Linked DNA regions of Notamacropus eugenii. The protein of the gene in region 2 binds, or shares a complex with, the protein of the main gene of each other region. Links are inferred from orthologs where the notes say so. Each region holds a gene or a part of one and is shown on either strand. Other genes may lie near its edges.

Region 1 (16,513 bases), on a different chromosome or scaffold from region 2:
CTGCCATTGCTCTTATCTATGTAGTGCTTAATGAAGCTAGAGAAAATAATGAAAACATGCAGATTAGGTTCACTATGAATTTATGTTACATAAGGTCAACTAAACCATTACAGCAAAAAGTTCCTTTAATGCTTTCCTAACTGATTCATTATACCACTCATTATAGTGTTTTTCTCAAACCTTTTCTTTCCTTCCCAAACATCCCATGGCTTCCCCTATTAACATTTTCCCCAAATTATTACTGAGAACCTTGACAAATGAAAAATGAAACTTTAAAAATGAAGCTGTTTGTTGAGAGCCCCCTCTTGTCCCTTCTTTTTCATCTCACAGCATTCAGGTGCCTTCTGCCATGTTCTCCTCCTTTACCCTATATCATCGGAAGAAGTAGCCCTTCTCCTTGCCAAGGCTAACTGTTCCACATACACAAGGGATCCCATTTTATTCTATCTTCTCCAACCCGATCAAGTGTCTGTCCTCTGGACCCTCTTCTATTTTTCCTCTATGATATTTTAATCAGTGATCTCATCAGATCTCATAGATTCAATGATCATCTCTGTGCAGAAAATCCTCTTCAGACATCTTAAATTCCACTTTTCCAAAATTGAACTCATTATTTTACCCTCAATCCTTTCTTCTTCTTAATTTCTATATTATTGTCATGGGTACCACCTTCCTCTCAGTTACTCAGATTTGCAATGTGTCATTCTCAAATCCGCACCCACTCTTATCTCTCTAGATCCAATTTGTTGCCAAATCCTATCTATTCTATCTTCACAAGATCTCTTGTATATCCACCAATTTCTCTCTGACACTGCCATCATTTTGTTTCAGGTATTCATCGCTTCACTTTTGGACTATTGCTGGCTGATTGGTCTCACTGTGTCCTGTCTTCTCATTCTATTCCATCCTCTACTCCACTGTCAAATCGCTCTTCTTAAAACAGTGTTAAACACATCACCCTTGCCAATTCAGTAAAATGTTTCTTCATCAAGGTCATACCTTATAATCTTTTGGTTGACCTCTGAGCCTCAAGTCTCTGCTCATTTCAGTCTATCCTTTACTCAGCTGTCAAATTTATCTTCCTACAGCTCAGTCTGACTGTGTCATACTCCTTTCAATAAACTCTGATGGTTCCATATCATCTCTAAAATCAAATATGAAATTCTCTGTTTGGCTTTTAAAGACCTTCATGACCTTCCCCTCTCCTACTTTTTCAATATTCTTAAACCTCAACCCCTGCCCTCCCTCCCCTTACTTTACTCTGGGATCTAGTAATACTGTCCTCTACTCTTCTTCCAACAAGACATTTAATCTCTCAACTTTATGCATTTTCAATTGCTATCTCTCATGAAAAACAACTTTTTACCTCTTTCCCAAAGTCACTAAACTAACAATTTGACCCATTACTCAGAATATATCAAAGAAATCAAAGAAAGAAGGAAGGAACCATATATACTAAAATATTTATAGTGTCATTTTTTTGTTATAGCAAAGAACTTGAAATAAAGTGGATTCCAATCAAGTGTGGAGTGGCTGAACAAATTACAATACATGAATGCTGTGGAATATTATTATACAGTAAAAAATTGACAAAAGAGATGATTCAGAAAAATTTGGATAGACTTGAATTCAACTTATGCAGAGTGAAGTCAAGAAAACCATTTTTTAAAATAGTAGTCATAGTATATAAAGGAAAACAATTTCAAAAGACTTAAGAACTCTGATCAATGCATTGACTGATCACAACTACAAAAAATGATGAAATGTACTTCCTAACTCTTTGGCAAATAATTGCAGTTACTAATTATTATTACAATTAATTATTAATTATAAAAGCTAACACATAATCCCTACTATGTGTCAGACATTATGCTAAACTCTGCAATTATGATCTTATTTGATGCCCCCAACAACCCTAGGAGGTAGGTGTTATTATCCTGACTTTATAGATGAGGAAATTGAGGCAAATTAGAAGTTGTTACTTGACAAGGGTTATACAATTAGTATACATCTGAGACTGGATTTGAATTCAGGTCTTCCTGACTGTAGCCCGGTGTTCTATCTACTGCGTCACCTATCTGACTGATTCAATGTGTACTTTAAAATTAAAGCAATATTTAATAGAAATTTATGAGTTTATATGTACATAATGTTCATATTTATCAAGATTATAATAAAGAAAAATTAAAAATATGTAGTTTCATTTTCATTTAGATTTACAGTAAACCTCCAATTGAAAAAGTTGATAAGATTTACATTCATTTGCCTTGGATTTAAATCACACTTCTGACATTGGACAATTTATTTAACTTTTCCTGGGCCTCAGTTTACTCATCTGCAACATGAAGGTGTTTGAGTAGATAATCTCTGAGATGAATCAGACCTATGTCTATGGTTCTATGATAAATTTCTTTATTTAATTATTTCTTTATTTTTGTTATTTATAAAAATTTATATTATGTTTAATTTATGGAATAGAACAAACATTTTCATAATATAGTATAATTAAAAAAGATGATTGCACATGAAATTGCAAATCTACCATGTACAACCTGCTACTCTTTTTAAAATATGCAACAAATGTATCATGTAATTTTCTTTCCTTTCTTTCTTTTCTTTCCTTCCCTGCCCCCCTCCACTTGCCCTAGGAATAGCCACCATTAGACATAAATAGGTGTTTTTTTCTCTTTCTCTTTATGTCTCGTATATATACATATGTAAATAACGTGTGTATACTATATAATATAAATTATTCTATATATACTTCTATTTATCAGTTATTTCTCTATATGCAGATAGTCTTTCTCCATATATCCTTTATAGTTAATTTGTGTATTTATAATATTCAAAATGACTTATTTCCTCAAAGTTTTTCTTAAAACAATATTACTGTTACTGTATACAATGTTCTCTTGGTTCTGCTCATTTCACTTTTCATTATTTCATGCAAATCTTTCCATGTTTTTCTAAGATGATTCAGCTAATCCTTTCATATAGCCCAGTAGTATTCCATCACAATCATATACCACAACTTGTTCAGCTATTCTGCAATTGATGGGCATCCCTGAAATTTCCAATTCTTTACCACCACAAAAAAAACTGCTATAAACATTTTAGAACATAGGTTCTTTTCCTTTTTATCTAATCATTTTTGGAAATAAACCTAGTAGTGACAACTTGGAGAACTAAAGTAGACAACATGAAACAGAGTAATTGATGGAAAGGTTGGTGGTTCTTAAAATATGCTTTCTTCATTTGGTGATGCCCTTTCTAACCAGACGCAATTACTTTCATGTTTTCATACTCAGGAAAATGATCAAACCCTGAATTTATTTCCTGTCCTTGGAATATGTACATAAAGAATATATAACTCAACCAGAAACTTTCCTCACTCTCAGTTCTACCTTTTAATACTCATTTCTTGCAACTCATGTCAATTCTCATTCTCTTCTATATCCATGACCACATCAACTTGTGTACTTCTTAACTTTTGTCTTGTCCTTCTGAATTCCAAAAGTACTTCCAGCTCAGAACTCTATAAAGGATAAAGCCTCTGATATTTGAAGACTTCTGTTTATTGATCCCATTGTAATCCCTTTACCTTTCATACACTCTAACTTCTTTTTGTGGCTTTCTCATAAAGGGAAATTGCTGTTAAAAAGTGATTATTTCATTTGCCATTTTAGTTTCAGCTTGTGTCCAAGTCATTTGCTCTTATTTTGTTGTTTGATTCTATGTAACCTCCTTACAAAGGGCTCTAAAATTATTTGAAATTTAAAATATGTCATTGGACATATATTTTCTGAGACTGAAAGCACTAAAAAATTTTAAGACAGAATTTCATAAAAGAAAGATGTGGATCCCTTACAGTCAGAAAATTAGAATACTAAGGAAAGTGAACCCAAAGAGGAGACAGTACATGAGATACATTTAATATAAATACATTTAATATAATTTAGTAAATACATATAATATAAAAACTGAGGAAGGAGGGCTGCAATATTTCTTCAAACTGTGCACGGATTGGGTAGTAGAGGAGAAAAAGAGGAGTGGTTTAGTTTTTCTCAACCAACTACCACCATTTCTTTACCTCCTGTTATTCCAGAATGTCACCAGGAATGATGGGAGAAGGAAACTTTCATATTTCCTGGACATGGGCCCCAAGAAGGTTCACAGTTGGCTGAATTGTACTCCTGAGAATTAGGAGTGATCCCAAAAGTGTGAAATTTGCAAGAGTTCAGTATATGGAACAGACTCAGAGAGGAATTCTTATAGGGACTGTGGCAGAATTGGATACAAGGTTTGCAGAAAGTCTAATTGCATTTGGCCTCCAGACAAGGGAAGTCTGATAGAACTCTATCTTTGCCTTTGAGTTAAAACATTTCTTGTGGGGGGTACTTTGACCAGTATAAAGCAGCAGGAGAGTTATCAAAGTTCTATGAGGAGAAGATGAGTTTGACTTAGGGATACTGGGTTAAGAAAGACTGAGAAATTGTTGGAAACTCAGCAAAATGATAAATATGACATGGCTGAAAGAATGAACATGGCTTGTGCAGTTGAGGCCCTATGAATTCTACTCTGTTATGAGGTTATAGTGGTCCTTGGTAGGTGGGGTTAGGGGGAGAGAGAAGGGGACACAGCAGGGGGATGTTTGCTCAGTGTTCAGTATGGTTATGAAGTGAGACTATTTGATTTCAGGATTTATGGGGATGGGGTGGGGATCAGGACTAGACCTCTGATTTCATTGGTGTAGGGAACTCCCAAGGAAATTCATTTTATTAAAGCAGATTTGCACCTGTAATTTACATTCTCAGAGAGTTGCCCTGAGCAATGAGAGGTTTGCCCAGAGTCACAAAGCCAGTATGGGTCAGAATACATAAACTGAAGTCTTCCTGGTTTCAAGGATGACTCTGTATCCATTGCTCTGTGTTATCTTTCTTCTGATTAATGATAAATATTTACTTTTTAAGTCGTGTGAACCAATGTGCTTGTATATTGTCAATACCTACAATTTGGAAAAGTGCCAAGTACTGACATACATACACATGCCTGTATGTGTACATACCTTGGCTGTTGTCCTTCATTCTCAAAGAGGACCAAATGACATCACCATGATAAACTCAGGTTTCAATGTGTCTGACTGTGGCTGATCAGACCAATACAGGCTTGAAATACTCTACCACAGACTGGGCACAGATAGTCCATGTGAATATTTGGGATGAATACTTCAAATTTACAGATCTTACATTCACTTTGTGCCTCGCTCATACAGCACAACACCCTTTCTGATGTGGACATGCCATGTTGAGTGGTCCTGTGCCAGTGTCTCTCATGCCGCATAATCAAATCCAAAGTTCTTGAGAGAGACCTTGAGAGTATCCTTGTATTGTTTCTTCTGACCACCATGTGGTCGCCTGCCCCATGTGAGTTCTCCATAAAATAGTCTTATTGGCAAGTGTACATTTTGCTTTCAAACAATGCGACCAGCCCATCAGAGTTATGCATCCTTCACTTGGAAGATGGTCATCTATCTGAGAGCCAGTGTGGCTTCATAAAGACTTGAGGAACAGTCAGTACGGTGTTTGCTGCTCGACAACTCCAGGAGAAATGCCAGGAGCAGAACAGAGGTCTATGTACAATGTTTGTAGATCTGACCAAGGCCGTTGACATTGTGAGTTGTGAGGGCTTATGGAAAATTTTGTCAAAATTTGGTTGCCCAGAGAAGTTCATCAGTATCGTATGTCAATTTCATGATGGCATGTTTGCCCAGGTTCTGGATAGTGGACAATGCTCTTGTGCCTTCTAAGTCACCAGTGGAGTGAAACAGGGCTGTGTGCTTGCTCCCATGCTTTTTAGCATGATGTTTCCAGCCATGTTGTCAAATGCTTTCAATGAGGATGAACAGGGCACCAAGGTCAGCTACCATACTGATGGTAAATTCTTCAATTTGAAAAGGCTACAAGCCAAGACCAAAGTGGAGGGAGTGTTGGTGCATGATTTTCTGTTTGCAGATGATTGTACAACCTCTGAAGCTGAGATGCAACAAACTATGGATCAATTCTCTGCTGCCTGTGATAATTTTGGCCTAATAATTAACACCAAGAAAACACAGGTGCTCCATTGGCCAGCACTACACCATCCATATGTAGAAACATTGATTACAACAAATGGAGAAGTTGGTACCTTGGTAGTGTACTTTCCAGGGGTTTACACATTGATGAGGTTGATGCATGCATTGCCAGAGCTAAATCAGTGTTTGGGAGGCTCCAAAGAAAAGTATGGGAGAGAAGAGGTTTTAGACTGACTGCCGAACTGAAGGTCTACAGAGTTGTTATACTTACTTCATTGTTGTATGCCTATGAAGCATGGACAGTCTACCAGCGCCATGCCACAAAACTGAATCGCTTCCATTTGAACTGTCTTAGAAAGATTCTGAGGATCATCTGGCAGGATAGGGTACCAGACACCAAGGTCCTTATTCGAATGCGTATGTGCAAATACATGCATATATACATAACCAGAAGACCATGGCAGTTCAGTAAAAAAATATTTATCTATCTTTCTGTATTGATATATAATCTATATTTATATGATCGCTATTATCCATATCTGTATCCATATCCTGTATTTATATTACACATATACTTATGTATGTATATGTATATATATGTGTATATATACACATGCATACATACATATCTATATACTCACACACATTTAGTATGACAGAAAGAGAAGACGGTGTACTGGTCATGTGATGAGCACAATGAATGACAGGTGGCCAGGCAAAGTGTTGGGGTTTTTTTGTACTCTCATAATGAGTGTTGCACAGGATGAGAAAGCATTTTGTATTCTTGGTTGAAACTCCTGAAGTTACAGATTCATTTAAGTATGTATACATATATACTATACCTATACCTACACATATATATGTATATGTACATATTTTATATGTGTGTATATATATACATATATATACATATATGTACAGACAGACACAGATTCATACGTTAATTTTTAGGAAATTCTATATAGATAAGCAAGCCAGCTCTATTGAATGAATTTTGTGTGGATTATAGAAATCAAAACATCACCCTCAAAAGAAATAAGGGACAAAGGTTTTTAAAATCTGTTGAATTTTACTGTAATAAAAGATTTGTGCTTTGAAAGTAGTCAGCATTATTTTTAAAATAAGTATTCAATAGGTGATCTTAATAGACTTAATCTCTCCTGTGACTTCCCATCTTGTGGTACTCTCCAGTCCTCAAATTCTCTCTTCTCTCTAGGTTTTTGATTTGTTGCTCTCTCCAAGTTCTCCTCTCACCTATCTGAATGCCATCTCCTTTGATGGCTCTTCATCCAAGTCACATCCACTAACTGTGAGTATCCCCCAAAACCCTATCCTGGGTTCTCTTCTCTTTTGTTTCCATATGTTCTCACTTGATGGTCTCGTCAGTTTCATCTCTGTTCGTAATTTTCATTTATTTATCCAGCTCTCTCTCCCTACCTCCAGTCTCACATCACCAACTGCCTATTCAATATTGCAAGCTGGATGTGACATAGTATCTCATACTTAGCATGTCTAAAGGAACTCATTATCATCTCCTATTCCCTTCTGAACTTTCCTGTTACTGTTGAAGGCACCACAATCTTTTTAGTCACCCAAATTCCTAAATGTCATCCTTGATTACTACTCTCACATACTTATGCCACATTGAAACTTGCAGTTTATATTTCCATACTATGTTTGACAAATGTCCCATTCTCTTCACTCACAAGTCCACAAGCCCATTTCAGGCCCTCATCACATCTGACTTGGATTACTTGTAATAATCTCCTAATTAGTCTCTCTACCTCAAGTTTTCCCCACTAGAATCCATACTGTACAGAGACACTAAAGTAATTTCACTAAAGCACAGGTCTGATCATGTCACATGTCTTATTCAACCAACTCCAGTGGTTTCTTATTATTTCTAGGATCAAATATTAAAATTTACTATTTTGACATTTGTTGTTCGGTTGTTTCAATCATGTTCAACTCTTTATGACCTCATTTGGGGTTTTCTTGGCAAAGATAGTGGAGTAGTTTGCTATTTCCTTCTCCAATTCACTTTACAGATGAGGAAACTAAGGCAAACAGGATTAAGTGACTTGCCCAGGGTCACCCAGCTTGTTCTTGTCTGAAGTCAGATTTAGAAAGATGAATCTTTCTGACTCCAGGCTGAGCACTCCATCCACTGTGACATCTAGCTGCCCCTGTATTCATTTTGTACATATTCTGTATTTTGACATTTAGATTTCCTTAAATTTTGCCCTTTTCTACCTTTCTTGTCTTCCTGCATGCTATTTCCTCACATGCATATGAGACACAGCCATACAAGTGTATTCACTGTTTCATACATGTGGCATACCAGTGCCCATCTTTATGTTCTGTATATGTCCCATGCCTGGAATGAACTCACTACTCATCACCACCTCTTGGAATCCTTGCATTTTTTTATGACAACTCAAGTGCCTCTTTATACGTGAAACTTTTCCTGATCCTCTTAGCTTTTAGTGATTTCCCTTTCCCGACTACTCTGTATTCATTTTGGATGCATTTTATATACATTTATGTAAGAGAGGTGTTTCAAACACCACCCCATTAAAATAACTAACACAATGCTTTACAACCTAGTATCTTCATTTCAGAGTTAATAAATCAAAGGTATAAGTTAGCTGTATACAACATAAAATTAAGATAGGAAGGAATAAAGTGCTTTGAACCATTAGATGAAATAAGATGATGAAATATATTGAAATTGGCTGAAAGAAATAGACATACCTGTGATCCTATGTACATTAGAGAAGGAGCTTCCACTGGGATAATCCATTATCTACTTTAGGAGGTAAGCTTCAAGAGTGCTTTAAGAAGGCAGGCCTTTGTATCTGTATAAGTGGGCAGCCAGCAAGGAGTGAGTGAGGTCATAGGGAGTGTCACACTCCTCCTCCCTCCCATTGTTCATGTCATTGAAGAGATTGTACCAGGAACAAGCAATACATCCATCTTGCAGCTGAAGGAGAGAAAACTAGACAGTAAAGGCAGCTTCATAGAACATGAATAAAGTGAAGTAAAAGAAATGAAACTTCAGGATTTTACAAGGGCACCTCAGGAGAAGTTCATGAAGATTGAAGGAAGGGACAAAGGAACTTTCATATAACTCTAGGAGCTATGAGTTAACTACCCATTGACCGTAAGTTCTCTCTAAGCTTGAACACACTTTACTCTGTGTGTATTTGTGAGAGACTATCTTTTAAGCATTTTTTTGGAGGGTGATGTTTTGTACCAATTGTTCTTACTATACCACTTTAGTAAACATCCTTGTTGATATATATCAAATGGATAGTAAATGGGAATCACACTGGTGGGGGCTCATCAACAATACTAATAGAAAAACCTCAAGTCTCAGAGTTATCCTGAAAAATTCTGGATGAAGAAGTTGGTCTCTTTCTGAGAATTTGGCCCACTAGACCTAATAGAGATTGGGAGAATGAGCTCAGAATGGGTGCTAAAATGTATATATTTGCATGCTATCTCCCCTGTTAGAATGTAAGCATCTTGAGGGCAGAGATTGTTTCATTTTTCTCTAGTTTATATCCCTAGTCCTTTGCACTGTTAAGTATTTTGCACATAATGAATGCTTAATAAATGCTTGTTGATTGATTTAATTGATAGGTTTAAAAATTGTTATGATTGAAAAATAAGTTTTGTGGGGAAATTACCAAAATGGCATGCAATTTGGGGAACTTCAAATAATTGGTAAATCTGTGATCATAAAAGAAAAAGTAGAGTAACAGTGAACAGTGATAGAATTGGATTCAGAAAGACTTGAGTTCAAATCTTGAATATGACATTAGCTATTTTAGCATGACCAAGTCACTTAATCTTTCTGAACCTCAGTGTCTTAATCTCTAAAATGGGTATAGCAGTACCTATACTACACATACTGCAGGACTGCTGTGAAGCCTCAGTGAAATAATACATGTAAAATCTTTTGCAAGATTTAAAACTCTTTAAAAATGTTGGTTATTATCACTATTACTGCTTTTCTTTCTTACATTTTTTGATGGAATTCAGCCAGAAATGGTTTGGTATAAATTATTTTTTTTCTTTTTTTAGTACTCTGCAGAATACTTCACAGGCAAATTATAATAATATAAAATAATACTTTTTTTGTAATTGAATGAAAGTGATGGGATCCAAACTCATATTCTGTAGGCCCAATTAAAAGTAGTATTTTTGCGATAACTCCAGTGGCAGATAGGATGACAGAGATGATATGTACCTCATCCTGTTCCCATGTGATTTTAATTTCTTCCGCTAGCTCTTTGTATTTTCAAAGCTTCATATTTCACATAACTTGAAAATTATGAGTATTTGCTATGGCAACATCTCTTAAAATCATTGATTTTAAATTTTAATGGTTCAAAGTTATATCCAAGTGGTTGTTGACAGTAGATTTGTCTGAGATAATGCTCTGCTTCTTGTAGTTTTTGTTGCTGTTGGTGAATCCTAAAGAATATTTTTAGTTTCATGTTTGTAGTATGTGGAATTTTTCATTGGTTTATAAAAGACAGTGAACTGCTAATTTATAATTCTAGGTACCAGGTAATTGCTTGTTAGGTATTTGGTAGGCACTAAATTTTTGGAGCTTTCACTAATGGGTTACAATATTTCCACTATTTCCTTGCATAATCTGCACTGATCAATAAGTGTGGCTTCCTTAAGAGTAGCCGTGCTATAATTTCTGGTGCTAATAACCTGATCTAGAATTGTTATTAGAAGTTCCTCCTTTCCTAAAAACTTTTGGACCATTGTTTAGTCTCTATCTAGGATTCAACTACTTTTAACTACATCTAAGAAGTTCAAGATTGTCTTACCTATTGTCAGTCTTCATTATTCCATGGTGAAATGATGTCTGCTTGTTCCAAAAGTTTTCTGTTAAATTTTTCAGCAGTTTATCATATGTTCTTGGGGCATCATTTCTCTTTGCTCTTTTTGGATAAGAAAATTTTCAAATTTCATCCTTTCTTTCAATGCTAGACTTTTAGTAATGTTGTATGAGTTTTTTAGTTATTAGATATTATCAAAACCTGTTATGTTTCATTTTATCATTCCAAAATTATATATTGAGACTAGTATTGCTTAGGTTTAGATTGCTTTCCACATGTCCACCAGTGAAATGTTGTACAGTTTTTACTATCTCCATAAATAACCTGCGTTAATCAGTCAAGACTTCTTAAGGATGACTTTTCTGTAACTCTGTACCAACGAGCTGATCTTATGGTGTCACTATCACAAACCCCATTTTGAAGATCAGAAGCGTCAAACTCCAAATGTCTCCGAAATTCCCTAAGGCAACCTGAAAAATCCTACAAATAAATCCTTGTGATAATAAATTTGTTCAACACACACACACGTGTGTGTATATACACATACATATGGGTGGTTTAGTTAATGTGACCCATGAAGAATATTTTGTTCACTCCAGAGTTGTTTACTATCATCATCATCATCGTCATCCTCATGCATCTCGGACTACCCTTTTGTAGTTTTTGAAATTACTTTTTGACTTTAGCAGCTGCAGATAGTTTTAAGAAAGTAGGTGGTGTGGTATAAAGGGCCCTCCCTGGGCCTGGAATCAGAAAGACCTGAGTTTATCCATCCTCATGTACTTACTAGTTGTGTGACCCTGGGCAAGTTACTTAACCTTTCTTTGCTTCAGTTTCCTCCACTGTAAACTGGGGATCATAGCAGCACCTACCTGTAATGGTGGTTGTGGGAGAAAACATCCATAAAGCACTTAGCACAATACTTGTTATCTAGTAGGTACTAAATAAATGCTTATAGCCTGCATCCTCTTTCCTAGATTTTGGCTTGACTGCTGGCAATAACCCAGAATTACCATCATAAACCTCTTTATCTTCACAAATGAAATAACGTGACCCAGATGTTTGTTTGACACTTTTATATCAAAATATTGTTTCACCATATTTGTGTCGATGCAACTCATGGAGGACTTTCTGATTCTCTTCCTGGATATTAGTTTTATGAGTTCCATCAGGAGGTAAGCCATTGTTTAGTTACCTTTAGCAAATCCAGTGGTGCAACCTTGTTATCGTCTTTGGTTTTGTTTAGTGAAGGTATACCTGCTTATTCTAGAAATACTTTTGTGGGTTTCTGAGCTGTTTATTATGTACACGATAAATATTTATCAGTCTTCTTTCTTCTTTTTGATCAAAAGTAGTAATGGTGTCTTAGACTTCTATGTGTTCTTAATATTGTACAGGTTTTTGTTAGGATTCTTTCCAAATCTGCTATGGTCCATTTTATAGTTCAGAAGGCATACTATGCAGAATACATACAAAATGAATACAATTTATTTTGGAATTTTTATAATTTTGAGAGGGAAAGTGCTAGGAGCTGAAAAGATCAGGAAGGACTTCAGGGAGAAGGTGGAGTTTAAAATGAGTCTTGAAAGAAAACAGGAATTCTAAGAAGCAGAGGTAAAGGAGGGAATAAGGAATAGGCAGGGGAAAAGTCACAGTAGTAGGAGAGAGAATACTTTGTATGTGGAATGGTAAAGACAATTTTATTTTGAAGAGTAACGTATGATAAGGCTAGACAGGTAGATTTGGGCTAGGGTGTGTGTGTGTGTGTGTGTGCTCATGTGCGTGTGCATGTGCGTGTTGCTAACATGGGTTATAAGACTCCACAACTATCTAGACGTGGCTCCTTGGAAAGGGTGAATAGACATCTCTAGAGAACATGAAGCTGGATGATTTTATCTAATTCTGCACTTAAATATTGTTAGTCTAGGGGAAATAATTTTTAGGTTCGAGCTTTGCTCCTGATTGCTCTCCTTTAATGGGGAAGGAGTGCTCCAAGCAAAGATTGACTCCAAAGGCTTGACTCCCTTCCAAACAAATGTTAGTTATACAAATACCAAACATAGTGGATAGCAAATAAACCTGTTTACCTAAGCCATTTGCCTAAGTAAATAGGAATCAGAGAAGTTACACAGATGAGATTATGACAAATAATTCTCAGAGTTAATGAAACTTCCCATCAGTAAGGAAATAGTTCAATTCTATCATAAGAGACAGAGAGTCCTAGATCTCATCTATGGGGAAATTGCCTGAAATTTCTAGCATGATAAGCTGGGGATAAAGACACAATTGACGTGCCAGCTCCCTTACTTAGAGTCTTTTTCTCCCTTCAGTTACCTCTCTTTGGAAAGGATCTGGAGTCACATATGTCCTTTCTTGAAGCTGGAAGCCAGAACAATGATCTTTCTTCCAAGCTCTACCCCTTCTATAGGTATGGGCTGTTGAGTAACCATTTCCTATGAATAAAGGCAATGTATGCCTTATGCAAATGTACTTGAGCCCTGGGTTACCCTTATATATTTTCTTAGAAGCAATAAGGAACTAACATACTAAGTAGGAGAGTGACATGATCAGATTTACTCTTTAGGAAAATCACTGTGGCAGCAGGAGATTGGATTAGAAAAGAGGAATTTGAAACAGGGAAACCAATTGAAAAGCTATTGAAAGAATCCAGGTGTGAGATCACTAGGACTTCAACTAAAATAGCTGACATTTGAGAAGACAATTGTAAGGGATGCTTTGGAGGAAGAAATAACAAGATTCAGCATCTACGTATGTGGCATGAGGAAGAAGGAGGGAGACTAGATGAAATCAAGGTTTCAAATCTGTGTGACTTGTTATCTGAATAAACGTAGGTAAATCTCTGGACTGTTTTGTTTTCTGAAAATGGGGTTGTGTCTCAAAGTGAACAGTCCCTTCCAGTTCTAAATCTAATGTTCCATAGGTCCATAAATTTGTGAGGTGAAGATTATATACACATTTAGACCAACATTTAGTTACTCAACAGTAACTCTAATAGTTTGCCCCTAACAGGGAGTCAACTATTAAAGTTGCTGAGACCATGATTGACACCATGCTGAGTATCTTAAAAATGATGAATATCAGTATATTTTCTAAAATTAAGTAATTGCTTTAGACAAATTTTCAAATAAGATACTGCTGGTGTAGTGGCTAAGAACTTTAAGAGGAATAATTTTCTGAATCCAATCCAATCTCACCTGTCACTGCTGGTCAAAAGTGGTCAAAGAATGTCAGAAAGAAAGGAAGAGGTTCAATTCAATTTGGCAAAAAAAAATTTTAAGCTCACACTATATACAAGACCCTTATGTTGAACTTTAGGGATAAGAAGACAAAGGAAAACTTATAGTGGCCCTCAAGAACCTTATATTCTAGAAACAAATGAGTAAGTCAAGAAGTAAATATGAGGTAACTTAAGGAATGAAAAGACACTAATGACTGGCTTTTTCAAGAAGTATCTGAGTTGATCCTAGAAAGAAGCTCAAGAGGTAGTGATGAGATTAGACTTGGGGTGGGGGTCTCAGGGACCCCTCAAGAAATGGAGTATTGGAAAGGGTCATCTGGAATGAATTTACAGACTCAAGCATTCTTCAAGTGAAGTTGGTAAAGATTTATTGTAATGCCAATATAGTGGGCAGAGCTCCTTAACAAACCTGCGACTTAATAGGAGTGATGTGAGTGATGTTAAAGCTTATATAGGGAAAGTAGTGAATTATCTATCAGATATGCTAATTAGGTGATAACTTACAACCTTGGTCACAGGCTTCATTCACTACTGCTAATGGGGGGGAGTAAGAAATTTCTCAGAGCTGTATTTTTGGTCTATTATGTCTATAGCAAGATAGCTTTGAAAGTTGATGTATATAGCTTGACCTCTAGATTGAATATCATAACTTTGGGAATCAGTACATGATAATTCTGTGGTTATAAGATAGTCCTATTTTTACAAGAGAATTTCTTTAGAGGTCAGTTTGTTCTTTTGATGGGGAAAGATAGTTTGTTTTACTGGGGGCCCATTCATGAATAATTGCAGGGCAAGGTAGTTTGTCTTACTGGGATCCATTCATGAGTTATTGCTAGGCATAGGCGGGGGAGAAAACTATCAAGGATAGTTTTTTGAGGCTAGGGAGAAATGTGATTTTGGAATTGGGGTCCAAACACAAGCACCCTAGCACCTCATAAGTAAAATTGAGGAGGGAATACATTTTAAGTGTGAGAAATGTTATATATGTATACAAAGCCTTGGAGGTGGGAGATGGAATGCTGATCTGGGACCCCATTAGAAGCTGTAGATTAAAATAAAAAAAGATACACAAAAAAACACTTGCCCAAAAGTTATAATTTTAAAAAATTCTCTTGAGATGGAAAAATTTTGGTCAATATTTATAAAAATTGTTTCAAAATACACAACTTAAAAAAAGAACAATTCAATCTTTATTGTTCAAGTGATCTTATTCAAAAGGTAATTCCTAAATCACAACATTTCACATTCATCCCACCTCCAATGTTTAAAACTCTGAGGACTAGAAGAAAAAGTTCAATTTAAAAATTCAGTTAAAGCGGTGTGAACTTAATTCAATGCAGATCTGGGAAATCTTTCACCAATCCATTATCATAGGTGCAACATATTGAGTGCAGAACACTGTTCTATGGGTTTTCTGGATGGCTTAATGGATAAGGCTGGACCTGAAATCAGTAAGATCTGAGTTTAAATCTAGCCTCGGATATTTACTAGCTGTGTGACCCTGGGCAAGTCGCTTATCCTGTTTGCCTTAGTTTTCTCATCTGTAAAATGTGGATAATAATAGCCTACCTCCCAGGGTTGTTATAAGTATCAAATGAAATAATAGCTGTTTTACATATGTGTATATGTGCACATATATACAGTATACATACATGCAAATGTATGTATGTGTATAGTTATTATTGTTCTAGAAATTGTATATTTTAATTATTGTTTCAGATCTCATGGAGTTTGTAATTTGGGAGAGGAATAAGAATATAAGATACAAGCCTATTAAATTTGCTCTTCCTTTTAACAGAGCTCATGTGCAATAGTGGTGAGCCCAGATATAATATATGCAAGCTCACATTATACCTGATAGGATGTCGTAAGTTACCCTTTGTTCTTTGTTACCCTTAACAAAACCTATAAAGCATGAGTTGATTGTTTCTTCTCTTTCCTCCTCCCTTTTCTGGGCAGAAAGAGAAGAGAAAGTGATCATTTCACAGTAAAGCAGGACACGGGATCTTCCATCTTTCTTTATTGAGCAGGAAGAAAGAAAGAGTAGAGACTGCCCAGGAATCCAAGCTCATTCCAGTTACCCAGCAGCTTTCGATCTCCATCATCCACAAGAAAATTGATCTGCTCCACAGGTTGGGATAGAATACTTGAGAGACTGGGTGATCATGTCTGTGCCTCAACTCATTCATCTTGGTTGGTCAAAATGTATCTCTTTGTATCCTTCTTCTTCCTAGTGTCTTCAATTCCAAGGTCAACATCACAAGTCCTGAGAAATCTGAGGAAAAGTCTGCTTAGTTGCCATAGATACTTCTGGTGTCCTGA
Region 2 (16,322 bases):
TCACCACCACCATCACCACCATCACCACCACCATCATCATCATCACCATCACTACCACCATCATCACCACCACCATCATCATCACCACCACCATCACCATCACCACCATCATCACCATCACCACCACCACCATCACCATCATCATCACAATCATCACTACTACCATCACCACCACCATCATCATCACCACCAGCATCATCACCATCACCACCATCATCACCATCACCACCACCATCACCACCACCACCATCATAATCATCATCATTACCATCACCATCATCATCACAATCATCACTACCACCACCATCATCACCACCAGCATCATCACCATCACCACCATCATCACCATCACCACCACCACCATCATCATCATCATCACCACCATCCCACCACCACCATCATCATCACCATCACTACCACCATCAGAACCACCACCATCACCACCACCACCACCATCACCATCGCCATCATCATCACCACCACCACCACCATCACCATCGCCATCATCATCACCACCACCAACACCATCACCACCACCATCACCACCACCACCATCATCATCACCATCACTACCACCATCAGAACCACCACCATCATCACCAAGATCATCACCACCATCCCTAGTATCTATATAGTACTTTGGGTTTGCAAAGTGCCTCTTCACAGGTGATCTCATTTGAATGTTACAACAACCTTGGCAGGAGGTGCTATCACTATCCCCATTTTACAATTGGGTAAACTGAGGCAAACAGTGGTTAAATGACTTGCCCAGGGTCACCCAGTTAGTGTCCCAGACAGGATTTGAACTCAGGTCCTCCTACTCCACTGCATCACCTAGCTGCTTACATGCTACACTCTTTGATTTCAGCTGCCTTAGGTCCTCTTCCTCCACAACCTGGCATTCCCTGCTTAATTTTACTCAGATGATTTTGTACCCATTACCATCTTTTATCATTCTAATTTTCCCCACTGATTTCCAAGCCCTCAGCCTGTTCTTTGTTCTCAAAGATAGGCCAAGGCTGCCACACCCTAGTTCCCTCCCAAGCCACTCTCTCCTCCCCTCCCCATCCTGACCCCTTGGTAAACCAGTTCAGTGCTATCCCCTCCTCTTCTCTCAGGTTCTGTGGATCCCTGGATCACTCTCACCACCCCCTGCTGCTGAAGGAAGCTGGACACCCCCACAGACCCCTGCTGACTGGGCCTCACTGCTGCAAGGAGATCCTTTACCTAAACCACCCCCACTGACTCCCTGTGCCACTCCTCATGGCAACTCTCCTAAAATGTCCATCCCTCCCCTTCTGGTCCCATCTCTCCAGTCCCAAAGAGCCTGGTCCTGCCCCCGAAACTCAGGCTCAGTACCCCCTTACCTGGGCTTGGGACTGAGGGCCTGGCCATGGTCTTGGCCCTGGTAGAAGTGCGGCCCCTCCCCTTCTTCTTCTTGGGAGGGGCTTCTCCAGACAGCTCCTTACATCTCTGGTTCCGCAACTTCTTGGTCCCTCCTTCTATGGCTGGGGGAGCTGCTGACAGAGAGTGGCCCAACTGTGTGAAAGCCTGCCCATTAGCCCGGCTCCTGGCCCAGAGTGGCAGCCCTGTTCTGCCTGACCCTGCTGTGCCTGCCCCAGCTCCCTCTCTCAGGGGTCTGACCTGGAGGCTGTAGGGGCCGGAGTCCCCGGGGTCGGTTCCGAGTTGACTGTGATTCAGGCTTTTCCTCAGAGTCCAGAAGCACCACAATCTCAGCTGGTGTCTCAGGAAGATCTGAGGCAGAGAGTAAAGCCCCTCAAGACCCTGACTCCCCCCAGCTCTGCCCCATGGCCCCCCCTCAGTCCCCTCCTACCTACCCCTGCTGGGGGAAGATGGAGACTCCAGGGAATCTAGCAAGGCCACGCCCTCGCTCCAGGCCTCAAGGATGTTGCTCTTCTCCCCGGGGCTCAGGCCCAGGGTGTGGGGGTGCTGGCGGAGGATGTGGCGCCGGGCACTTCGGGCGGAAGGGGTGGGGAGCTCCTGGCCACATACCATGCACAGGGCCCGGCCACTGCCCCCAGGGCTGTTCCCTACCAAGTACTCTTGCTCCCAGGACTGCAGTGGCTCGGCCTCCTCTGTAACAGCAGCACTGGTCTCTGGCTGGCACTGCCCAGGGAGGGGGCTGTTCTCAGGTTGTCCCACTAAGGAAGGGCAGGGGAGTGAGACAGACAAGGGAGGGGAGAGAAGGGAGCTCACCGTGAGAGAAGCCCAGGATGCCAACCCAACAGGAGGGCTCTTCCCAGCTGAAGAAAAGCCTTCCTCTTCACCATCCTCCCAATAGGCCCTCCCCACACCAGCAGATCATGAGTAGCCAACAACATCTGTCTCATGGAGCACTCTCACACTCACATATGGTACCCTCAACCCAGGGGGCTTGGGTGGAATTGCCCCCTCCCAAGTGACTAATGTTCCTCACCGCCAGATCCATCAGCCTTTGCTCACAAGCCTCATTCTCCCAGAACCCTCTGGAGGAGAGTCTTCTCTTGGGGTTTTGGGGCTACCCCTCTGTTCTCCTCCTCTTGATTGCATCCCCCAAGCTCGATCCCAGACCCTCTTCTCCCTACTTTCATACTCGTCCCCTTGGGGATCTCAGCATCTTCCCCATGTTCGGTGATCTCCTGTGTGCACTCAGCCCTAACCTCTGTCCTCAGCTACATCTGGCATCAGTCACCACCTGCCTCTCAGGCATCCTGAACCAGATGTCCCCCAGGTTTCTCAAGCTCTATCATATGACCAGAGCAGGACTGGCCATGTTCCTGCCATCTTTCACACTTCCTAGGGGAGCCTGGGCACTGGGGGTCTCCCTCGAGCCCTTGCTCACAATTCCTCCATGGTTGGTTGGCAGGTTTCCCCTTCACAGTGTTTCTCCCCTCCCCAGCCTCAGCCTAGGCCCTCATCACCTCACACCTGAACTATAGTGCCAGCCTCACTATATCCCTGCCTTGACACCCCCTCCTTTCCATACTCCACCTGGCTGCCAAAGCAACCTCTTCATGCCAAGGCTAATACTTTGGCTCCTTGGGCCACCACGGGGGCACACAAATGGGCCCTGATGCATTGTGGGCAGTCTTCCCCAGCAGCTCCCCACCTCAGTAATCTCCCTCTGGTGTCCCTTCATGACTCCACCAGGGTCACTGCCCACCCTGGGGGCTCCTGTTCTGACTACATCATCTCCCACCTTGAGTCTTGAATGTAAAATGTGCACCTTAAAGACTCGGCTCAAGCCACCAGCTACGACACCAGCTGTCAGCACCTCGCCAACAAAATTACCTTGTTTAACTCTTTGTGGACTTTTATCTATGTACAGGGACCAACAAGAGCTGTCCAGGATGGGCAGCAATCTGTGCCAACAGAGGGAATTTCTGAACCAAGGAGATCACAGATGCACTGGAGTTCCCAGGAGCTGTCTCTCTTTGTGCCCAGCACATAGTAGATGCTTCCTGATACAGGGACTGCTACGTGTGAGTGAGGATGGAGGAGAGAGCTGGCTGACAACCACTGACCTCCTTTCCTTGCCACATCTCTCCAAACCCCCCTCTCCCAACTGTTTCCCATCCCTAATTCTGGACAGGTCTAGAGGAAGGAGTCCTTGGATTCTGAATGGCAGCCCCTCTGTGTGGCCTCTCTGTCCCAGGACCCCGGGCTGCCAAAGTCCAGGAGTGTACTTTGATGGCACCTCTGTTCATTCCCACTCTGGCCTTCTGTATCACCCCCATTGGTTTTCAAATGTCCTACAAAAACCCCACTGCTTATAGCCTGCAAATTTAGAAAACTGTCTCTGCCCAAGTCTCAGAAGAGAGGTGGATGGCTACTGGGACAGGATGGTGCCTAACTGCCACAAGAAGACCTTTTCTTGGTCTTTGCTCCAATTTTTATTTGTTACAAGGGAAGGTCCATGGAGGAAGGCACATTGAGAAATTGATGTACTGTAAAAAACAAAAGAGACACATCCACATTTAGGTCTCACTTCCGTGGGTGCTTCACCAAAAGTCACTGAGAGAAGCAGCAGCGGGTGGCTTCCCAGGACCCAGTGGTTCAAGATGGAAAATTCAGATATTTAGACCCGACAAGAGCTGGGTACCTGACAGCCTTGAAGGCCAATTCCAAGAGCTGGCCCACCCAGGGTTTAGGGGTGAGCGAAGCAGCCCTCAGCAGACTGCAACAAGTGTCCTCTGCACTGATACCCACAATCCACTTTTCCCACTCAGCTTACCCCAGGTGCCTCCCTCCAAGCACCCAGGCACTGAGGCAGAAATGAGGAGCAGGGAGCAGACCCTGCCCTTGAGAAAGGCCCACTCTCCAAGGCAATGTTCCCCCTGCAGAATGGGAACTCAGCACTTCTGACGCTGCTGTGGCCTCCCAGGTTAGGGAGCCCACACTACCAGAAACCAAGGGAAAACTCAGCTATGTCTGCAATGGGCAGGGATGCAGCCCCCACCCACAGCATCAGGGAAGTGAGGCCTGTCCCCAGCTTCCAGGGACGCCTACTGCCAAGAGTCCTATTTTATCACAGGCCAAAGGCAGAGCACTTGGGCCCCAGGGACCTCTGCAGGGATGCCCATCTGCACCTGCTCTGGGGGGGAGGAGGGGGGTGCTTAGCCATTCCAGAGAGAGACACCAGGAAGAGGCAAGAGGGAAAGACTGAGTGGTGGAGAAGGGGCAGGGAGAGGAGCAGAAGAGATGAGGGGGGGAAGGGGGAGGATGAGAAGGAGAGGAAATATAGGGAGGGAAGGGGATAAAAAAGAGGGGGAGAAGAGGGAAGAGGGAGTGGGGAAGGAGCAATGGCTCACCCTCACTGGATCCCACTCTCAGGAGCAAAGAGCCCAGCCAGCCTTCACAGACACCCCCAAATCATCAAGACCTCTGCACTGCTCTGTCCCTGTGGACAGCCACTCCTGGTGCTGCAGCCTGGGGGATGCACCACCAACACGGAGGATTTACGGGGTGTCTATCTGCATTTTGGTGGATGCCTTCCCCAACCAGAATGGAAACCCGGATGAGGATGTCTCCCTTTGGTAGGGCATCCCCAACCCTTGGGAAGGTGCTCGCATACATTAGGCACTTCATAAATGCTTGTCTTTTTCATTCATTCACAACTAAACCCCAAGCCATTCCAGACCAATCCCGCCTCTGGGTGACCTCATGACCTTGCCGGACCTCCTTTTCACCTATTATGTGTTTACAGGTATATATGTGCAACACACATACATGTAATAGAATTATACACACTACATATGTATATGTAGATGGAGGAGGCCTTTCTGTAAACATCAATCTATATGTGCATGTGTGTTTATGTACATGTGAATACACACATGTACAATGGTAAAGTTGTATTTAGACACATGGAAAAATGAGGAGGGTCCCTGGGATCCTGTGGGTACCCTTGGACAAGTTACCTGCCCCAGAGGGACAGGTTTCCAGGGGAGTGGGGGGTGAGGTGGAGAGAAGAGGCAGATGGTATGGATCACATCTATGTGTGCACACAGGCCCATACAAACACATATGTCACGTGTGTGGATACACTGAGCAGTTTGCACAGGCAGCATGTACACAAACACGTCTCTGTGTGTACGTGCAGACACGTCTATGTCTACATACAATTACATGGGCAGCAAGGTGGTGCTGCACGGATAGAGGGCTGGGGCTGGGGTCAGGAGAACCTGGGTTTAAATCCAGGCGCAGGCACTCCCTTGCTATGTGACCCTGGGCAGGTCATTACACCCCGCTTGCCTCAGTTTCCTCATCTGTAAAATGCGCTGGAGAAAGCAATGGCAAAGCACCGGCGGGACCTCTGCCAAGAAGACCCCCCGGGGTCACCGAGGGGGGGCACGACTGAACACGGAGCCACAAAATACAGTTACAGACACGGAGATGCGCACGCGTGCGCACGCAGTCACGGATGACACGAGGCGTGGGGGCCACGGCTTCGCAGCCTGCCCTCGCACCCGCGGGCGGTCACATTGTCCGCACGCGTGTCCGTCCGTCCGTCCACACACGGTGCACGTGCGTGCACAAGCCTGGAGGCGGATTTCGGGAACACGGGGCACGGAAGCGCATGCCCGGGTCCCCCGGGCCCCCCCAGGACGCCCCTGCACGGTACCTGGCCCCGGGCCGTAGCGTGACAAGGGCAGCGGACGAGGGGGGCCCCATCCCCAGGCTCCCCCTCCCCCTTCTTCCGTTGGCGTTCCTCCCCCTCCCCCCTAGCTGGACGTCGGCCTCAGGCCCCCCTGGGGGGCAGCCCCGCCCCGCCGCCCCTTCCCCCTCCCCCTCCCGCCGCGGCCTCACCTCGGAGCACCGGCTCTCGCAGCGCCGCGGGGATGGGGATGGCGGGCTCGGCAGGGGGCCCGGCGGGCGGCAGGGCGCGGCGGCGGCGGGGCGGCGGGGGCCCCCGGTCCCCACCCTCGTCCCCGTCGTCCTCCACTTGCACCTCCTCCACGTCCTCGCACTTGAGCGTCACCTGGATGCAGTCCAGCGGCGCGGGCTCGGCCTTCAGGGCCATGGTCCTGCCTGGCGGGGGCGGAGAGCGCGGCTCAGCGCGGCCCGGCCCGGCCCCACCCCCGCCCCTGCCGTTCCCCGGCCGGCCTGGGCCCACCGCCCGCCGCCCGCGTGCCGCGGACCTGCCGCCGCCCAGCCCGGGTCCTCCCCGCCACCATAGAGTCTGCGGACCCCGGCGGGGGGAGCGTCCTCAATCCGGGCCCCTCACCCGGCGCCGCTCTCCCGTCTATGGTTGCTCATTGTCCGAACCGGGCCCGGAGCCCGCCCCTAGGCCCGCCCCGCGGCCGCCCGCCGCCAATCGCCGCCCACCTTGCGCCTCGCGAGCCCCGCCCCCTGACGCCGGGCCGGCAACGCTGGCGGGGAGCTCTCGGGCGCCCCCAGGCGGCGCAGCGGCCGCAGGGCAGCCCTCCGAACGTTCCCCTGGGGGAACAAAAATTCAAACCGGCCAAAGTAAAGTGCAGTCTGGGCCCGGCCTGGGAGGACGAGGCCCGGTCTCGCCTTTGCCTTCCGGGCTGGGGATGCAGCAGCTAAGGAGGAGCATTGCTCAAGTGCCTACCGTCTGCCTAGCCACGGGGCACCGCTCAAGCGCCTTCTGTCTGCCCAGACACGGGGCACCGCTCTAGCGCCTACCGTCTGCCCAGACACGGGGCACCGCTCAAGCGCCTACCGTCTGCCCAGACACGGGGCACCGCTCAAGCGCCTACCGTCTGCCCAGACACGGGGGCACCGCTCAAGCGCCTACCGTCTGCCCAGACACGGGGCACCGCTCAAGCGCCTACCGTCTGCCCAGACACGGGGCACCGCTCAAGGCGCCTACCGTCTGCCCAGACACGGGGCACCGCTCAAGCGCCTACCGTCTGCCCAGACACGGGGCACCGCTCAAGCGCCTACCGTCTGCCCAGACACGGGGCACCGCTCAAGCGCCTACCGTCTGCCCAGACACGGGGCACCGCTCAAGCGCCTACCGTCTGCCCAGACACGGGGCACCGCTCAAGCGCCTACCGTCTGCCCAGACACGGGGCACCGCTCAAGCGCCTACCGTCTGCCCAGACACGGGGCACCGCTCAAGCGCCTTCTGTCTGCCCAGCCACGGGGCACCGCTCAAGCGCCTACTGTCTGCCCAGACACGGGGGCACCGCTTAAGTGCGTACTGTCTGCCCAGCCAAGGAGTACAGCTCAGGCACCTACTGTCTGCTCAGACATGGAGCACTGGTTAAGTGCTTACTATGTGCCCAGACAAGGAGCACTGCTTAAGCACCTACTCTCTGCCCAGACACAGAACATTGATTAAGTGCTTTCTATGTGCCCAGACACAGAGCACTGCTGAAGTGCCTACTGTCTGCCCAGCCATAGAGTACAGCTGAGGCACCTACTGTCTGCCCAGACATGGAGCACTGGTTAAGTGCTTACTATGTGCCCAGTACTGTGCTAAGTGCTAGAGCTAAGTGCTCTAGACAGAGACAAAAAAGGAAGTAAGACAGGTCATGCTCTCAGGGTGACTGATTACACTTGGGGAGAAGGAGAGCCACAGCAAAATAAGGGGGCTTCGATTATCCAAAGTGGAGCCTCCACTGTGACAATTTCCAGACTCTAAATCAAGTTTATTGTATTTTAATTGTTTTTTTTCAATAGAAATATTCCTTTCCCACCCAAGTCTCAGGGCTGGAAGGGTTTTCTGAGGGTGCCCTGAATGTGCTGGGTGGTGTCAACTTAAGAGGATTCGACTCCTGATTGGGCTGAGAAAATGCTGAGCCCCTGTGTATCTGGAGAAAGAACTAAAAAACCCATTCTTGTATTACTGTCTTATTTTTTTTCCATGGCCTGAATTTCCCCTTGCATTCATCCCTCTCCTCCCTCCCAGAGAGCTATGGAGGAGTGATGTATAAAAAGCTTGAGAGATATAGAGATATAATTCCTGGGTAATTAATCATTTTATTAATTGTGGCTAGCAAATACTTAATAAAGGATGGTCATTTAGCCATCTCTCATGGACCAAGGAAGGATGATGGCAGCCTATTGATACTTGTATGCCCTTGGAAGATTAGGTGTTCCTGATAGTTGGCAGTCAACTCTGATTAGTGAACAATTAATGAAAATAATGAATATTATAATGGGAGGCGGATCCATTCTAATGAGGAACTGATTATGTCAGTTTTACTCCCAGATCAGTCCCTCCCATCCCAGGGCAATCTAGACAAAAGCTCTACACACATTCACACTCACACACACATGCACACACACACACACACACATGCCTGAGTAGAATAAGTTGGGTAGGATCTGAACAAGATTGAGGAAAATGTTAAATCCAGTCTCATTATCAGCCCTATTCTTCACAGGCTGATTTGACCTAGAAGAGAATGATGACATAGGAAGGGAAAAACATTAGTCCTTATTCAATAATTGGTTATTAAAGTGAAGACCTGAGTTCAAATCTAGCCTCACACACTAACTGTGACTATGGGCAAGTCACTTAACTTCTGTCTTCCTCAGTTTCCTCAACTGTACAATAGGGATAATAATATCACCTATCCCTCAGAATTGTGGAGAGAAGAAAATATGATAATATATATTTTTAATTAAATTATTTTATTTGTTTTCAGTGTTCAACAATCACTTTCATGTATCTTAGATTTTTTCCCCTCCCTCTCGCTCCCTCCCCCTCACTTCCCACTTCCTCCCTGAGATAGCATACAGTCTTATATAGGTTCTACACATACGTTCCTATTAAATACGTGTTGCATAGAAGAATTAAAATAAATGGGAGAAATCTTAAAACAAAACCAAACAAAGCAAAACGTAATACAAAAGAAAATGGTCTGCTTCTATCTGTGATCCAGTCCTTTCTCTGGATGTGGAAGGCATTTTGCCTCGAGTCCACTGGAAATTTTTTAAGTCCTTGCATTACAATGAAGTACTAAGTCTACCAGAAAAATTCCTCGAACACTGTGGTTGTTGCTGTGTACAAAATTCTCCTGGTTCTTCTCCTTTCGCTCAGCATCAGTTCATATAAGTCCTTCCAGGCCTCTCTGAAGTCTTCCTGTTCATCATTTCTTATAGCACAATAGTATTCCATTACATTCATACACCACAACTTGTTCAGCCATTCCCCAATTGATGGGCGTCCCATTGATTTCCAGTTTTTGGCTTCCACAAAGAGAGCTGCTATAAAATATTTTTGTACATGTGGGACCCTTTCTCATCTCTATGATCTCTTTGGGTTGGAGTCCCAGAAGAGATATTGCTAGATCAAAGGATATGTACATTTTTGTAGCCCTTTGGGCACAGTTCCAAATTGCTCTCCAGAGTGGCTGGATCAGCTTACAGCTCCACCAACAATGAATTAGTGTTCCAACTCTCCCACCTCCAACATTTATCATCTTCCTGTTTTGTCACGTTAGCCAATCTGATAGGTGGGATGTGGTACCTCAGAGTTGTTTTGATTTGCATCTCTTGATTTAGAACATTTTTTTCATACGGTTATAGATAGTTTTAATTTCTTCCTCTGAAAACTCCCTGTTCATATCCTTTGACCATTTATCAATTGGGGAAAAATATGATAATATCTATAAAGTATACCTGGTAGTAGCAAACCTGGTAGTTTGCTGTTGTTCAGTTGTGTCGAACTCTTCATGATTTCATTTGGGATTTTCTTGGCAGAGATACTGGAGTAAGTTGTCATTTCCTTCTCCAGCTCATTTTACAGATGAGGAAACTGAGGCAAACAGGGTGAAATGATTTGTTCAGGGTCACACAAGGTCAGATTTGAACTTCCTGACTCCAGGTCCGGTGCTCTGTCCACTGTGTCACTAGCTGCCTGAAAGAAAAGAATCTGATGGACATCATATACACTCTAGCGCTCGTTATTATTAGGCTCTACCCACAACACCCTAGCTTGGGGGAAGGCTGGGAAGTTTAGCGCTGAGAGGGCTATTAAGCCAGAATGACCCTTATCAGTCACACCTCTGATATCTCTAGTCTTGGGCAGGACTGGAAGGGGTTCAGATTAAAAGTTACTCTTAAAGGTCGCGGCTGACCTTAAACCCTCTGGATTCGCGGCTTCCTCTGCTCCTCCCCTGAGACGATACCGCTCAGCACCTCCCAGCATCTTTCTGCTTAAGACGGAACAAGCCGGGCAATATTCTAAACGTAGTTTGCCCTTCGTTTTCCATCTCTCTTTTTGGCAAGTCAAGTGTTTACCAACTGAAATCTTTTGGGGAATCTTTTAGTCTCTTTGTTAAGACAATCGATTTACATCTTTTAAAAACACAGAGCCATTTCAGTATTAGGGTATGTGCTAGGTACCGGGGAGAGGAAAACAAACCTCAAAAATTCTCTCCTTCTTTGGAAAGCTTCCATCCTAGGAGAGGAAGGTGATAAGGCCAGGACTATGAGGTCTGAGGTAGAAGGAGTCTTCCTTTCCCTCTTCCTGCCCCCTTTCAGCTTTCTTGTGTGTGTTGAATTCCCATTTCGATTGTAAACTCCCGAGAGCAAGACTTGTCTTTCTTTTTCCTATTTCCATCTCGAGCTCTTCGTCAATAGTCAATAAATATTTATTAAATGTCCGCTATGCGTCAGGCACTGTGCTAAGAACAGATGCTACAAAGAGGACCAGAACATAGTAGGCATTAAATACGTGTTTATCGACGGACTCACCAGCGGTATTGGAGTTATGGAGTCCGACCTACTCTTTTGAGACTCCCTTTGAGGGTGTGCGCTTTGCAGGGTGCTGAACAAGCGAACTCCGTTCAGGGCAATTCAGAGCTGCCCTGTCCAAGCGGCTCACTGGCTTTGCTCTCTAAGTGAGACGCTGAGTCAGAATCAAGTAGGGGACTCCACTCCCTTCTTTTTTTAAGGAAAAAGGAATCCCAGGAGAGGTTGGGGACAGGGACGTGGTCAAAAAGCTTTCCCGTCATCCCGTCCAGAAGCAGGAGTCTTCCGCTGCCCTGTGTGCATCGCTAAATGCCCTGCTTGCCTCCGCTACGCTTGAGAAAGGGGTTCACGGGAAAGGGAGAAAAGACATGTCGTTATCACCTACCTATTCTCTTGCAGGAACTCACACAGTATCGGGGACCCTCTGTCCCTCTGCCCGGAGGGCAAGGAAAGAGAACAAGGTTAACATCTCATCTCCCACCGGGCACCCGCTCATTTTTTTACTTGGGCTCCCTCCCTTGTCCTCCTCTCTTTTCATGATACCAATCACACCCTCTCTCTTCAGCTTTCTTTCCTATGTTGTTCCCCGACCCCGACCCCTCCCACATTGTAAGTCAAGGACCATCTTTCCTCAGCACAGTGCCTGGCACATAGTAGGCACTTAAAAATGTTTGTTGGTGAAAAAAGGCCTGAGCTTGCTTCTTGCAGTCATAAACTGCCAGAATGAGCAGTTGGTTCTCAGGCAGCCAGTCATCAAGAGTCAGCTCCAGTCTCTAAAAACCAAGTGATCAGATTCCAGAGGGGGTACTCACCCTCTCACCCTTTCCTGGGGGAGCCCTTCACCTTCCTCCAAACAATGGCCTGTATAATCTCATTAGGTTGTTGGAAGAAACCCTCAAATTGACTGGTGATTCCTCTGCTAATCCCCCATGGTCTCCCATAAATCAAACAGGGTTCACATTGGTCCCTATCCCTGATCCAGGATAGCTGTCAGGCAATTTGGGGAGGGGGCCCAGCAATTGTCCATTCCGCACAGTCCTTGACTGACTATCCCCCAGAATTGTTGAGAGGAGAAAATATGATAATACATATTTTTAATTAAATTATTTTATTTGTTTTCAGTGCTCTGCCCTCCATGTCATGGGTCCCACAAAGTCTGAAATGCCCAGTTTTTAGACATTCCCCAAATTAAATCTGGTGAAAGTGGTCACTTCTCATAATTAGGGGTGCCTAGAGCTTCCACCCCTCTTTCCCCCAGTACATAGCTGGACAAATTCAAATTTTCAAAATTCTCATAGCTCACACCTGTGTTAAGTTAAACTCTGAAAACAACACTTAAGAACAGCAAAAATAGATTTTAAAAAAGAGGCAGAGGGGGAGAAAGTCCCCCTCTCCCCAACCCCTCCCCCCATCTAGTCAGATGAATTTCTAAGGCATATGAGGCTCTTCCAACAGTGATTTGAGACTTTGGGTTAACTGAAAGTCAAACTCTCACATCCAAGGGAGAAACCAAACTGCCTTGGATAGAAAATTCCTCCAATGGATTTCTGCATTAATAGGGCAATCCAAATGGAGCATGCCTGGAGAGTTGAAGTTGATGAGGCTTCAATCCTTTACCCTCTGGTCACATTTTAAAAAATGAATTGAGCCAGCTTTCCCTCCAAAAGAAAGGATTCTTGGGTCCCAGACAAGCCATCCAAATGCATTGTACAAGGGGGCATGCTGTTCAGCACTGCTCAAAATTGAAACATCCGAGGACAGATCAACACAAGATCATAGAGACCATCGAGTGAGATGCCTTTACTTCACAGCTGGGTAAGTCAAGGCACAGGGGTGGCATGGCTTGTCCAAGGTCTTATAGCTAATTATCATCCAAAGCAGGATTTGAATCCAGTTCTTCTGAAACTAAAGACAGCATTCTTTCCAGTATCCTCTGTCCCAAACCATTTCCTTTAAAAAGGGCATTATCCATTTGGGTCAGTTGGAAATTTACCATCCTTTCCATCTCAGAAGAGCCTAGCATGGGTCAGGTCCTCTTCAGGTCCTCTCCAAACAATGAATCTCGCCTGTGGGTTTGTACTGTTTGCTGGAAAGCTCCTACTCAGATCATCCCCTGCCCATTTGAGGAAGAAACTGAGATTCAGAAAAAGCAGAAATCTGCCCCAAGTCACAGGGGTAGTAGGCAGCAGAATTGGGATTTGAAGCCAGGTCTTGTGACTCTAACACTGTCCATCCAATTGCCTTGCCTCCTTGGGTTGCAGCCCCCAGAAGCTCTTTGGGGGGCAAAAATAGGCTCAGGATTTTTTGTGGTTTTGCATCACCAGAGCCTCATTTATGGCCTGGCACATTGTAGGCACTTATTGAATTCTGACTGTGAAACCATTCTAGGTCCTAGTGAAGCAGGTAAGTGACTGGTCAGGAGTCTTGGCTCTTGGCCAGGTAATGTCTGAGTGACCAGGGGGTAAATCCCCTCCTCTTTCCTGGTCTCAGTTTATTCGTTTCTAAAATGAGGGGAGAGATGGACCCTAAAGACCTGTCTCTGTGGTAGGGGGAGTCTTGTACAGTACAGTATGCTGGAATAAGCGGGAAAGACAAGTGTAAATCCAGCTTCAGGACTTTACTTTGTCCCCTCCAGGGCTCTGACTCAGTCTCCTCCTCTATAAAATGGGGACAAGGGTAACTGTGTTCCATAGTGGACCTCCCAAGGTGACAGACAGGAGTGCCGGTCCCTGAAGGAAAGGATACAAGAAGTTCATCTGAGGATTTCCGAGTGACTGGGGTTTGTCCCCAAGACAATGGTGACCGGTGATGTCTACCACACACATAGCGCATTAAGGTTTGCAAAGTACTTTACCTGTTTTACCTTAATTACAGCAACAATGATAATAACAATTAAAACATACATACTCCAATGGTGCCAGGAGCTGTGCCAAGCATGGGGAATACAGAAAGGGGCATGGGACAATCCCTTACCTAAAAGAGTTCACAGTCTTAATGGCAACAAAATCTTCCCTCTCTCTAGAAGGCCAAGTGTCCAAAAACTTAAACTCCGTAGCTCTCGAACTCAGGACAGCCTGTGAGGTAGCTGCCAAGGTGGGGACGTCTATTTTTAGGATCTCTCCTTCTGCCATGTGCTTCTGTAATGCTTAATGATTAATGAATAATTAAAGCGCTTCATAAATGTTGATGGACTGATGCACCAAGAAGACAGAATCTAGAAGACAGTCTGCCCCAGCCCCCAGCATCCTCCTTAGAGAGCAAAGCCAGTGATCTGCTTACATAGTGAAGGGGGAGGCTTGTTTGACAGCTTCAAAGACCTTTCCCTTTGGGGGATGGACATGGCCAGTGGACAATTTGCTAGTTGTATATCTCTATATTTGTTCTGGGGCTCCTGGGAGAACCTGCTCTCTTGCTCTCTTTTTTGGGGGGGCATGAAATAGAGGCTGTTGCATACCCTAAATCTACAGTATACATGGAGTTCCTAAGTGGAATTTGGGGACCCTGTTACCCACATTTAAGGACAATCTAGATATGAACTATACCTGAGTGTTGTTTTAAAGATTTTCCAAAAGGAAAACTGTGGGTTTGGAGTCAGGGTCAAGGAGAGAAACTGCTACTTTGGGGTCTTTTCCATGATCTAACTCAGACCATGTGAGCTGAGAGTCCTGGCTCACAGGTCACAGCACACAGGACACTCAGCATTTGAAGAAGCAGGAACACAGGGCCACCAGCTGTTTCCTCCAGCTTCCCCTGGCCAATTCAAATAGACTGAGGTAGAAATCCAAGCATTTCTGGCTCCCTCTACTTTCAAAGGCCTTACATGCTCAGTAACCAAATTTCCTGAAATGGAAATCAGGACTTTGGATCCAACAAAGCACACAGTAGGTCCCTTTCCTCTCCATGTGTATACACACATATCTACAAATATTCACATGTATACATACATGCTTGCTTGTGTATATACATGTGTATGTGGCCCATATGTTCATGCATGTGTAAATATCATGTGGCACAATGCTCCTACACACTGTGAGCACTTGACTCCATAAATTTTCTTTTGGAAGCCACATTAAAATAGATTCTGTCTTCTGAAAAGGACTACCCTGGTAGTGCCTCTCTCCCCCAGGCTCTGTGAACATTTGTCAGACATGCTCTCTCCTCTTGGCAGCCTTTCCTGGGTCTAGAGGCAGAAACACTTTCTCTGCACCCAGTTCTTCAGCCCACGCTTGGCCTCACAGGTCGCAGGCTGGGTGGGGACCTCAGGGGTCCCCCACTCCTGCCCCTCGCCTGTCTTCCCTATGGAGACCACCAGCAGGGGGAGGATGCCCAGCTCCTCCAGAGATTGCATTCCACCCTCAGAAAACTCTAATGGTTGTGAAATTTTTCCTGATTTCCTACCTCAGTTCATCTCTTTGCTATTCCTACCCAAACTGCTCACTGGGTTCCCTGCTCTGGGTGAATAATAGTCGTAGTGCACATATCTCTAATGCTTCTGGGTTTACAAAGCACTTTACAAAGATGATCAAGAGTATCTCCTTTGGACCTCAAAACAACCCAGGGAGTGGGTGCTGTTATTATCCCCATTTTATAGGTGAGCAAATGAAGGCACATAGAGGTTAAGTCTCTTGCCCAGGGTCACACAGCTAGGATGTATCTGAGGCTGGCTTTGAACTCAGGTCTTCTTGACTTCATATCCAGCTTTGCTCTGCTCTGAGTTTGAGTCTGAGACCTCAGCGAGTCATCCAAGGGGAGGTGACAAGCTGGAAATTAAAGATGTAGGGGAAATAAATGAAGGCCAGGTATATAATCTGGGAGAATCATTTTAGAAGGATGACAGTTGCTTCTGTGATAGGTGATGAGATCACCAAGATAGAAATATTGAATAGCACAGGATCGAGCACTGTCTCTGAGGCATTTCATTAAAGACTTTCTTCCTCCTTAGCAGCAAACCGTTCATGAATCTGGATATTTTGCCAGATCCAAATCCATGTAGCCACAGACCCAGTCCAGTCTCTTCCCAGCCAACCTCTTTCCATCTAGTACCCTGGACTAACACAGGCGATGGTCAAACGCTTTGCTAAAATCAGTTTGTACTACAGCTGGGGAGTAGTACCCCAAGGCTATCTAAGCCAGAAAGAAGGTCCCACAAT

What was found.
Region 1: the proteins of SPINDOC (region 2) and SPIN1 are in contact, whole or in part, in a crystal structure (PDB 7CNA), measured with the Homo sapiens proteins. The link is inferred for Notamacropus eugenii from reciprocal best matches to the Homo sapiens genes SPINDOC and SPIN1. Residues at the interface, in NP_612480.1 of Homo sapiens: Phe256, Ala258, Pro259, Ala260, Val262, His264, Phe265, Thr266, Asp267, Ser269, Phe270, Pro271, Gly273, Phe274, Val275, Leu276, Gln277, Leu278, Phe279, Ser280; in NP_006708.2 of Homo sapiens: Met154, Thr169, Tyr170, Glu171, Pro174, Pro206, Val209, Val210, Leu213, Lys216, Gln217, Val218, Glu219, Tyr220, Thr229, Val232, Val242, Tyr243, Ile245, Phe247, Asp249, Asp250, Tyr254, Val255, Tyr256, Asp257, Leu258, Val259, Lys260, Thr261.

What each region holds. Positions count from the first base shown.
Region 1 is NC_092874.1:368,718,355-368,734,867, reverse strand, and holds the start of SPIN1 (spindlin-1), read right to left. Parts: upstream 8,919-16,513; 5' UTR 8,825-8,918; intron 1-8,824. UniProt on the Homo sapiens protein: Chromatin reader that specifically recognizes and binds histone H3 both trimethylated at 'Lys-4' and 'Lys-9' (H3K4me3K9me3) and is involved in piRNA-mediated retrotransposon silencing during spermatogenesis.
Region 2 is NC_092873.1:16,653,339-16,669,660, reverse strand, and holds the start of SPINDOC (spindlin interactor and repressor of chromatin-binding protein), read right to left. Parts: upstream 6,767-16,322; 5' UTR 6,760-6,766; coding exon of another isoform or gene 6,728-6,759; 5' UTR 6,642-6,727; intron 6,532-6,641; coding exon of another isoform or gene 6,524-6,531; coding exon 6,310-6,523; intron 2,163-6,309; coding exon 1,839-2,162; intron 1,756-1,838; coding exon 1,645-1,755; intron 1,521-1,644; coding exon 1,368-1,520; intron 1-1,367. UniProt on the Homo sapiens protein: Chromatin protein that stabilizes SPIN1 and enhances its association with histone H3 trimethylated at both 'Lys-4' and 'Lys-9' (H3K4me3K9me3).